3 linked regions of the Kluyveromyces lactis genome follow. The protein of the gene in region 1 interacts with the protein of each later gene in a biochemical or structural test. Links are inferred from orthologs where the notes say so. Each region holds a gene or a part of one and is shown in the gene's direction. Other genes may lie near its edges. The genes, in order: KLLA0_F03597g, FUS3 and KSS1.

The links.
Region 2: the proteins of KLLA0_F03597g (region 1) and FUS3 form a complex in vitro, tested with the Saccharomyces cerevisiae proteins (3 studies listed by BioGRID, with this or other methods). The link is inferred for Kluyveromyces lactis from reciprocal best matches to the Saccharomyces cerevisiae genes MSG5 and FUS3.
Region 3: the proteins of KLLA0_F03597g (region 1) and KSS1 form a complex in vitro, tested with the Saccharomyces cerevisiae proteins (2 studies listed by BioGRID). The link is inferred for Kluyveromyces lactis from reciprocal best matches to the Saccharomyces cerevisiae genes MSG5 and KSS1.

What each region holds. Positions count from the first base shown.
Region 1 is NC_006042.1:340,143-343,053, forward strand, and holds KLLA0_F03597g (dual specificity protein phosphatase family protein), read left to right. Parts: upstream 1-1,183; coding exon 1,184-2,266; downstream 2,267-2,911. Other genes in the region: VAC7 (Vac7p), read left to right, coding at 1-363; HOS4 (Hos4p), read left to right, coding at 2,628-2,911. UniProt on the Saccharomyces cerevisiae protein: Dual specificity phosphatase that dephosphorylates MAP kinase FUS3 on both a Tyr and a Ser or Thr. Has a role in adaptation to pheromone.
Region 2 is NC_006041.1:928,450-931,683, forward strand, and holds FUS3 (mitogen-activated serine/threonine-protein kinase FUS3), read left to right. Parts: upstream 1-1,539; coding exon 1,540-2,655; downstream 2,656-3,234. Other genes in the region: PEP1 (type I sorting receptor), read right to left, coding at 1-952. UniProt on the Saccharomyces cerevisiae protein: Together with closely related KSS1, FUS3 is the final kinase in the signal transduction cascade regulating activation/repression of the mating and filamentation pathways, induced by pheromone and nitrogen/carbon limitation, respectively.
Region 3 is NC_006037.1:217,134-220,319, forward strand, and holds KSS1 (mitogen-activated serine/threonine-protein kinase KSS1), read left to right. Parts: upstream 1-1,458; coding exon 1,459-2,547; downstream 2,548-3,186. Other genes in the region: KLLA0_A02475g (FAD-dependent oxidoreductase), read right to left, coding at 1-554; LUG1 (Lug1p), read left to right, coding at 3,013-3,186. UniProt on the Saccharomyces cerevisiae protein: Together with closely related FUS3, KSS1 is the final kinase in the signal transduction cascade regulating activation/repression of the mating and filamentation pathways, induced by pheromone and nitrogen/carbon limitation, respectively.

The sequences.
Region 1 (2,911 bases):
AGATTGATCAACAGAAATTATGATGTTTCTGTTGCCAGTGTTAAATTGCTCAATCCTGGTGCACCTAAAAATAATGGTGATGATGAAGACGGGGATAATGACGATGACGACGATGATAATGGTAACAAAAAGAAAATGGGCCACGATAACCAAGATGAAAAGGGCAATCACAAACTAGAGAATGATATTGACCGTTGGAAAGAATTGATCAAATATGAATTCGAATTGATCGTCAGAGGAAACATGTATTACAGTATCCCATTCTTTAACAACCAGAAAGTACTCCCAGTACAACAGCAAATTTCTGTAGATCCAGACAACTCACCTTTCAGAAAAAAGCATGGAAATAACCATGCGCAATAGAATATAAAGGCCATTTTTTAGTCTGCCAGAAGCTTGTTTAAGTCAGACACCAAGATAACTCATCGGAAAACTTCAACCTTGGCCTTACTTAGTTTTTACAATGTCTTGTAGTATGCCACAGCAACTAATTTGCTTGTAATTATATATAATGATAACAATAAGATATACTTAAAGTACCACAAACTGTATTTTTCATGGCCGAGTTATAAGCCTTAAGTGACCCCAGCAACATCTGCATCAAGAATGTTATTTATTTACTTCTTTTTTTAGGACCTACCTGTGTCCCCAAGAAAAAGTAAAAAAAGCAGAAATGTTGAAATACTAAGCACAAGAAGTAAACTTGAAACAAGGTACCGAAACAGAGCTAAAAGTTCATTTGTCTGTTTTTATCGTCAAATAAATCAACTGCTGTAGGTCCACAAGTTATCATTGTTATTGGCATAGATTTAAACCTTCGAATTGCACGCCGGTGGGTTTTCCTCGACTTACCACACACACATTCAAGGCGGCAGAGGGGATATTTTGAACATATTAACGGGGAACGATTGTGAGATCTTAGCTACTACATTAGAGGATATTTGAGAAAAGCTTGTACAGCAATTTATTGAAATTATTGAATATTGTGTTACTTCAAAGATATAGGAAAACTAAAGCTGGTACTTGATTATTTCCCTAGACGCTGGTAACCCATAAGAAAACCGTTCTTATCTCATCTTGAATTCCTGGCCAAAGAAATTCGGTAAGAAACTTATTTGGTTATAATTATATTAAACATTTGATCATACTTGCAAGTCCTTTTCAATACCCAACACCGAGCGATATGGAGGCACCGCAGAGAATAAGTACAAGGTCACATCATTCGATGCAAAATAAAAATTCAAAGAACCTTTGTCTTCGAATAGGTGATTCCCCAACGAAAAACAAACTAATAATGGTGGATTCAAAACCAAATGAAAGCAATGATACTTTCGCAGTGCCATTGCGCCACCAGCTTACTAAACGTGTAAGTGAAGCACAGATATACACTTTACCGCCACAGCTTAAATCTGCCAGATCCACACCCTCTACACCACAATTACCGTCTGGCAGTTCGGGCTTTGATTCAGCCGCTTCACCCTCATCGTCTACGTCTTCCTCGCCTTTCAATAAACCAACACTTCCAACAATCAACACCAAATTTCACAATAGGCCGAGGGCCACGACAATTGCGACAAGTGTACCTCAGATACAGACGCCCAGTAATGATTCAATGGAAAGCACGACACGGTATTGGGTTCTTCAAGAAAATACGCCCATGTCCTCTACAAATTATGATAATGATATGAAGAGCATCCCATACAATACCCATTCTGATGAAGACTCACCGAGCTATTCAGAATCATACAGAGAGAAATATTATCCCAGTGGACCGTTACTTGTCGTCCCTCCTTTCATATATTTGTATTCTGAACCATCATTAAAAGAAGTAATGGATTACGACGTAATAATAAACGTTGCAAAGGAGATTACCAACTACAAGGAACAACTGCCTCTATCCAAGCAAGGTTGCTATTATCATTTTACTTGGTCTCATACCTCACAAATTACTAAAAACCTACCACAACTAACAGAACTAATACAGAATGCCTATGCCAGCAAAAAAAAGGTGCTAATCCACTGTCAATGTGGAGTATCAAGATCAGCTTCCTTGATAGTAGCTTACATGATGAGATACGACAAATTAAGCTTGAATGAAGCATATAATAAATTGAAGTCTGTCGCCAGAGAAATAAGTCCAAATATGAGTTTGTTATTCCAACTAATGGAATGGGAAGATTGGCTTAACAATTGTGACTCAATCAATGATAACTGTCGGAAACAGTCATTCGAGTCCATCTCGGAATTCGGTGAACTCTCTCTGTGAGATTGTATGATATAAAACGCAATTTTAGGGATACCCATACAAAGTATATAGTAGCCTAAACACTACTCTGTAATAATACGCCGCGGATCTTCTGTTTGGGCAAACTATCAAAACGTACCAAGTGATAATTCTGTTCTTAAAAACATTAAACTTTTGAAGGTTTCTAAGTTATGATATAAGGTAAATAAAGCTGGTGACAAGGGAGAATAATGCAAAGAAACCATTAGATAATACTGTCCTCCCACTTATTATACTTCGGACTTTACGTTACTCGAAGGATTCATTCAGAAGAGTGCGAATTATGGAAAATCAGAGGCCATTCATAACTTTCAAACCTTTCTGAAAAAACCGAGTAATAACCATGAGCGAACCTGTCAAAAAAAGAAGCTTGGGCAGTTATCTATCTCGTCTCGAAGAGAGAAGAGAAGAACGAGAAAGATCAGAGCAACAGCAGCGAGAAAGTCCTAAGCCAGTGGGTGAAAATGGGAATTATTCTGTTACCAATGTTCCAGTAAAGGAGGAAGAGGTATCTCAAAAGGTAACTTCAACTGATCAGAACAGTACAAAACAACCATCAGACGAACCCTATGTCGTTAGCCAAGCAAACAGCTCTGACCAGAAAGTTGGATCTCCTTTGAATAATCA
Region 2 (3,234 bases), on another chromosome or scaffold:
ATTTACGAATCTGTGTTCCAAGGGATATTTGTTCAAACTTATCAGTGCTATCATCTTCCAATCTCCAGAGATTTGCGGCAGAATTTTCATTGAACCGATCTGATAATGTCAAGATAAATAGATGATTATCGGAAATGAACGTTGATGCTGGAGACAAATCCTGTAATTGTTCGGCAAACGGACTCAAACTCTTAAAATTAACATCGGTGATATACAACTTACTGGAAACATCTCCGAAAGGGGATAGTACGGTACTCTCCTGACAGATTACCTTGTCTTTTAATTTGTACAGTTTTGATTTTGATGATTTCTGTACGAATGAACAAAACATGTTTAAAGGGTTTGAATCATCATTACTTTTAGAACCAGAGCTGGCCAATTTGAAATTGTTACCATCTTTGGAATAAAACGAAATCTGCCTTAAGGTAAATTTACCATCCAGTTTACCTAGTTCATAGATATTGATAATTCTTGCATTCTTATTTGTGGGATGTGACTCGATTTCAACGTTGATAATCGGTTTACGATTTTCATCGCCGACGTTCGAATAATCAGAGAAGTCTATCTTATGATTATCTGCGTCTAGGAAAGTTAACTGTTTCCAAGATTTCCCTTTATCACCGGTAGCTAAAACGCCGTTTTCACCACTCAAATATGCAACATCTGCTTTATAAATCCGATCTAGTACCAAGTGATTCCATTCCTGAGGTTTGTTATCAGACGAAAGGGGCAATCCCACCGAATCCCAAGTAACACCATTATCCTCACTTCTATAAAGCTCAACACCACGAAGAAGTTTAAGAACTACTCTCGAATCATCAAATCCGAGGATAGACAAGCGGCCATGCGTGTCTACATCCGAATGGAACGATACCTTGGGTTTAAAATCCTGAGCCAAAACGGGCAGAAAGTTCCAAAGCCCCAGCCAAATAAGGATATTCCACCAAAACATGAGACAAAGACGTTAAAAGTACTGCAAGCAATGTAAAAGGGTTTCGTTTATATCGGTAATTGAGTATATACATGAAACACAAGCTAACTACCGCTAAGACCAAAATTACAACGAACTGTTGAACAATGGTTCAAAAGACAATCTGTACGATATATTCTATTTTTTCCTCCTAGCAATTTTGATAATACCAATTCTGAGCATTTGAAAGTTGGTAAAAGGGAAGAAGGAAAAAAAAGGACGCGTCACGTGAATGTGAACATAATTAAGAACCTTAATTTTTCCCTAAACTGTTGCAGCTTGTTTCACATTATCTCTGAAGAAATTAGTCTCGTTTCAAGATGAAACGGCCGTACTTAAGGGAATATGGGGAATGTCGCGTTCATGAATTACAAACAATTAAAGTGAAAACTTCGATGGTTTGAGGTTTTGAGGCGATTTAGTGAGAAACAAGAAGACTTAAGATATTACATATATATATATCATACCTAAAAGTGGGTAAATATGGATAAATTCTCAGGCAAGAAGGGGTGGACAAATTTTTGCTCTGGTTTTATTCATCCAGAGAACCAGAGATAGATAGTGTGACAATGGGCAAGAGGATAGTATTTAACATAAGCTCTGAGTTTCAACTACAGTCGCTTCTCGGTGAGGGTGCTTACGGAGTGGTATGTTCAGCGAAGCACAAACCCAGTGGAGAAATAGTTGCTATCAAAAAGATCGAACCTTTTGAGAAACCCCTATTTTCTATTAGAACATTAAGAGAGATCAAGATATTGAAGCATTTCCAACACGAAAACATAATCAGCATATTTGACGTGCAAAAACCATCATCTTTCGAACAGTTTAACGAGGTGTACATAATTCAAGAGTTGATGCAGACGGACTTGCATAGAGTGATCGTGACGCAGGAACTAAGTGAGGATCATGTGCAGTATTTTGTATACCAAACTTTAAGGGCGCTTAAAGTGCTGCATGGAAGTAATGTGATCCATCGAGATTTAAAACCAAGTAATTTGTTGTTAAACAGCAACTGCGATTTGAAAATCTGTGATTTTGGTTTGGCAAGAATTGTATCTGAAAGAGCAACAGATGGCGATGCCCATGTTGACGCTGATGACACGGATGATAACTCCCCTTCATCGGCGGCTAATGACGGTGACCCGGCAATTTCGGGAATGACAGAGTATGTGGCAACCCGATGGTACCGAGCACCGGAAGTAATGTTAACAGCTGCACAGTACTCCAAGTCCATGGACGTATGGTCATGCGGATGCATTCTTGCCGAGCTCTTGGGGAAACAACCGTTGTTCCCCGGGAAAGATTACAGAGATCAGTTGATCCTGATATTTCAGACTTTAGGGACACCCACGGAACAAGAATTGGTGGAGCTAGTAGAAAATAGACGTGCACGTGAGTACATTCGCTCGTTACCTAAGCATCCCAAGATCAATTGGCGGCGTAGGTTCCCGAATGCATCTGCAGCCGCTCTTGATCTCCTTGACCGGATGCTGCAATTCGATCCGAGGCTACGGATCACTGCCACGGAAGCGCTATCACATCCATACTTGGTCTCGTACCATGACCCGGACGACGAGCCCGAAGGAACTCCGATTCCTTCGTCATTCTTTCAATTTGACCAATGGAAGTCGCGGCTAAATACAAAGGATTTGAAGCGGCTGTTATGGAACGAAATCGTGTCATGAGACACACCATCCAAAAACAAACGAATGACTAAGTAACCACTAGCGTATTATATCATTTTCTTGTGTAGAGGTCTCCAAAATGAACAAAGAACACCATCAGATAAACATAATGCGGTTTTGTGCTTTGGAAAGGAAAAAAAGAAATTGAGACGAAAAGATCCCATTTCGGAGCCGCCGTTCTGCGATTATCTTAAATGCGATTTTTTCTTGTTTGTTTTAGGGGCCCCCTCGTTGCAGGGAAGGTCAAACCAAGAAAAACAAATTACACGCACTAGGAAATCTGTGAACGAAAATGCAAAAAATCCATTGATCCGGACTTTAACACGCATGACTCTTTCCTTCACTATGGTATGCTCTTCAGTCATACATTGCCACATGCAGTAATTCTTACGACCCGATACGATTCCTTCCCCTCTCTATCCTTGCAAACTTAGTAAACTGAGTAAGCTGCACCATTAATGTTTCGGGATGTCCGAGCTATTGTGTGATTCGAGTAGCGCACAGCAGTTAGACGCGATTTTTTTTTTCTAACGCGCTGCATTACTTCGCTTAGTATATCCAGCCATTTTTTGTTGTTTT
Region 3 (3,186 bases), on another chromosome or scaffold:
GTCAACTTTTGCTTCAAGAAACGCACATTATGCTTCTGTTTCAAGAAGTTAGCCAAGTTTACTATGAATACTGGACAATTGAAGTTCCATGAGTTGAAAGCGATACCAAATTGGGCTCCCTCAGGTTTGAATTTTGCAAGTTCTTCCTTCGATAGGACCTTATACTCTTCCAAATATTGGCTCAAGGAATTAATCTTGGCCTTGGGAGGCTGGTAATCCCATAATTCCGTGGATGGTCTGCGAGCTAATCCTAACCACTCTGCATCTTTACCCTTGTAGAAATCCAGTAATTTTTCACTTAAAGTAGGTAAATTCTCATACGTGAACCTATCATACCACATGACGTTTTTATCATCAGGTGAAATACAAGACCAAACACCACCTGCCCATGGACTAGTATAACCAGTGGGTGACTGGTCACCTGGTAAGTAATCTGCCACAATGCAGATATTTTCACCCGGAACGCCGTACAATTCGGTCAAACAGTACGTGACGTACAAACCAGAAATACCTGCACCAACAACAGTGATCAATGGCTGAGATTTGTTAGACATGTCATTTGATAATTTCAGGCTCAAATAAAGCTTACTGATGAAATTGTGACTTTCACCGCTATAGATATATTCAGTAGATGTTTTACTCTACTATAGAAACTGGGAATGCTCAAGTAAGTGATCTGCCAATTGGCTGTTTCCTACTTCAAACTGAAACTAGGTTGGAAAACTTTACTGAGGAAAGAGAATCTCAATCCCATGTCCCTTCACTTATGTATGTTACCGATGACAAACCATGCTATTCTGACAAACGCGCTGCCTCGACCCCACCTATCTTAGATATCACTTCCAGCTCATTTACAGTCAAGTCATGTTGCCTTCTCTCGAGGAACTACCATTTAAGGTAACTCGAAAAATCTGTAAATCCACGTTGCGGTCTTAGCTATTCCCTTATCAATTCTCTGTTAACTTTAACTATGACTTTCAGTTCACCTATCGGGAAATGAGTTCCGCAGATTTACCCGCATGGATCCAATTTATGCTCAGTCGCAGTGGTAACAACCGACAGAACATGTGTGAAACTGCACTTTCTTGAACGGTGAAGCGCATTGCGGTATGTCCGAGCAGTGATGTGTATTATAAGTCACATGACTGACACCGGGGTAACATTTTTTCAGGTTTCGAGATTGGATGGAATGTTCACCAACATGAAACAAAGATTCAAGGACGAAACATTCTTTATCTGGACGACATGGAACGTCGCGCATTGTGTCAACTCAATGGGATACTTAAGGCGCCGAGTCAACGCTCGGGAATGACGATAAAGGATTCCCATCCAGAGTTTTGCAATTGGACGCTATAGGTATATATAATATTTAATCCTTAGTGGGGGGAAACTAAATCTATAATAGTGGAATAGCAGAGATCATTATAACAAGCAAACCGGAGATCTAACAGCATAGAGATGCCACGAACAATCACGTATGATATCCCATCCCATTATCAACTAGTAGATCTGGTTGGTGAGGGAGCATATGGTACAGTTTGCTCTGCGATACATAAGCCAACAAACACGAAAGTTGCAATTAAAAAGATACAGCCGTTTAGCAGATCGATGTTTGTTACCAGGACGTTACGGGAGTTGAAACTGTTGAAATTCTTTCATTCGCATGAAAATATCATATCGGTCTTGGATATAGTACGTCCGACGTCATGGCATAAATTTGAAGCAGTTTATCTTGTACAAGAGTTGATGGAAACGGATTTGCAGAAGATTATCAACCAACAAAATTTATCAGAGGATCATATCCAATATTTCGTTTATCAAATACTAAGGGCTTTAAAATCGCTACATTCGGCACAAGTAATCCATAGGGATTTGAAACCAAGTAATTTGTTACTGAATAGCAATTGTGATCTCAAAGTGTGTGATTTTGGGTTGGCTCGTTGCCTGGCATCGAGTGATCAATCAAGAGAGAATATGGTGGGTTTCATGACAGAATATGTAGCTACCAGATGGTATAGGGCTCCAGAAATCATGTTGTCCTTCCAAGAATACACAACTGCAATGGATATCTGGTCATGTGGATGTATACTAGCAGAAATGATCATGGGTAAGCCGCTTTTCCCAGGTAAAGATTACCACCATCAACTCTGGATCATCTTAGAAGTTTTAGGGTCTCCAACTTTGGAAGACTTTGAACAAATCAAGAGTAAAAGGGCAAAAGAATACATATCTCAACTACCCATGAAGAAAGGTATACCCTGGGCTAATGTGTTAAATAAAGAAGTTAACCCTCTTGCTATCGATTTATTGTCCAAGATGCTAACTTTCAACCCAGACAAGAGGATCAGTGCAGTTGAAGCGTTGGAACATCCATATTTGGCAACATATCATGATCCAGATGACGAGCCAGATTATCCCCAACTAAACCTTGAAGACAATTTTTGGAAAATTGACAACGAGGCCCGCGATAAAAACGAGGAAGACGATATTCCACTGGAACTGTTGAAAAAGATGCTTTATGGTGAAGTTATGAAGCCTCTAAATTGATATGTTCGATATTCTATGAACTAAAAAAAAACTATCCGCATAGTCTTTGAATGAATGTACTGAGACTCAAGGATTTTACGTTTCATGGGTACTTCTCATTAGGACGCCTAGTCTGTCAAATTGAGGAAAAGTAATACAAGAATTCTCATACTCATATTAGACAATCATATAGTTAATTACATAACTAAGTAAAGCTACGAATAACCACATCACGTTTTTCATACTCTTTGATCCCTTATGAACCTTAAGTGTACTTTATGCCCTGAAATGAAAAATAAAGTAGCGATATAATTAGAATGAACAAGAACTTGAACAAAAGACCCGCATCAATAGAAGAAAAAATGAAAACCAAAGTGGATCTTAAAGAAATCATCAAGAGCACCAAAACAGGTGCAAATAGCTTTAAGGATTGGTGAAGTGTATAAAACGTGTTATTCGGGGCTCGCATATCATAATTCGTTCAATATGATCAGTGAAACATCGACGATGCGGTTACCTTCAGAGATAGTCTATGAAATCTTATCATACCAGTTCAAGGATCTTATGTCTAATGATCACTCAGCTACTAGTGAGAAATATCACTCCAATATCAAAACTTTCTTAGGATCGAACTCTACTGTTAACAGGACATTCCATCAT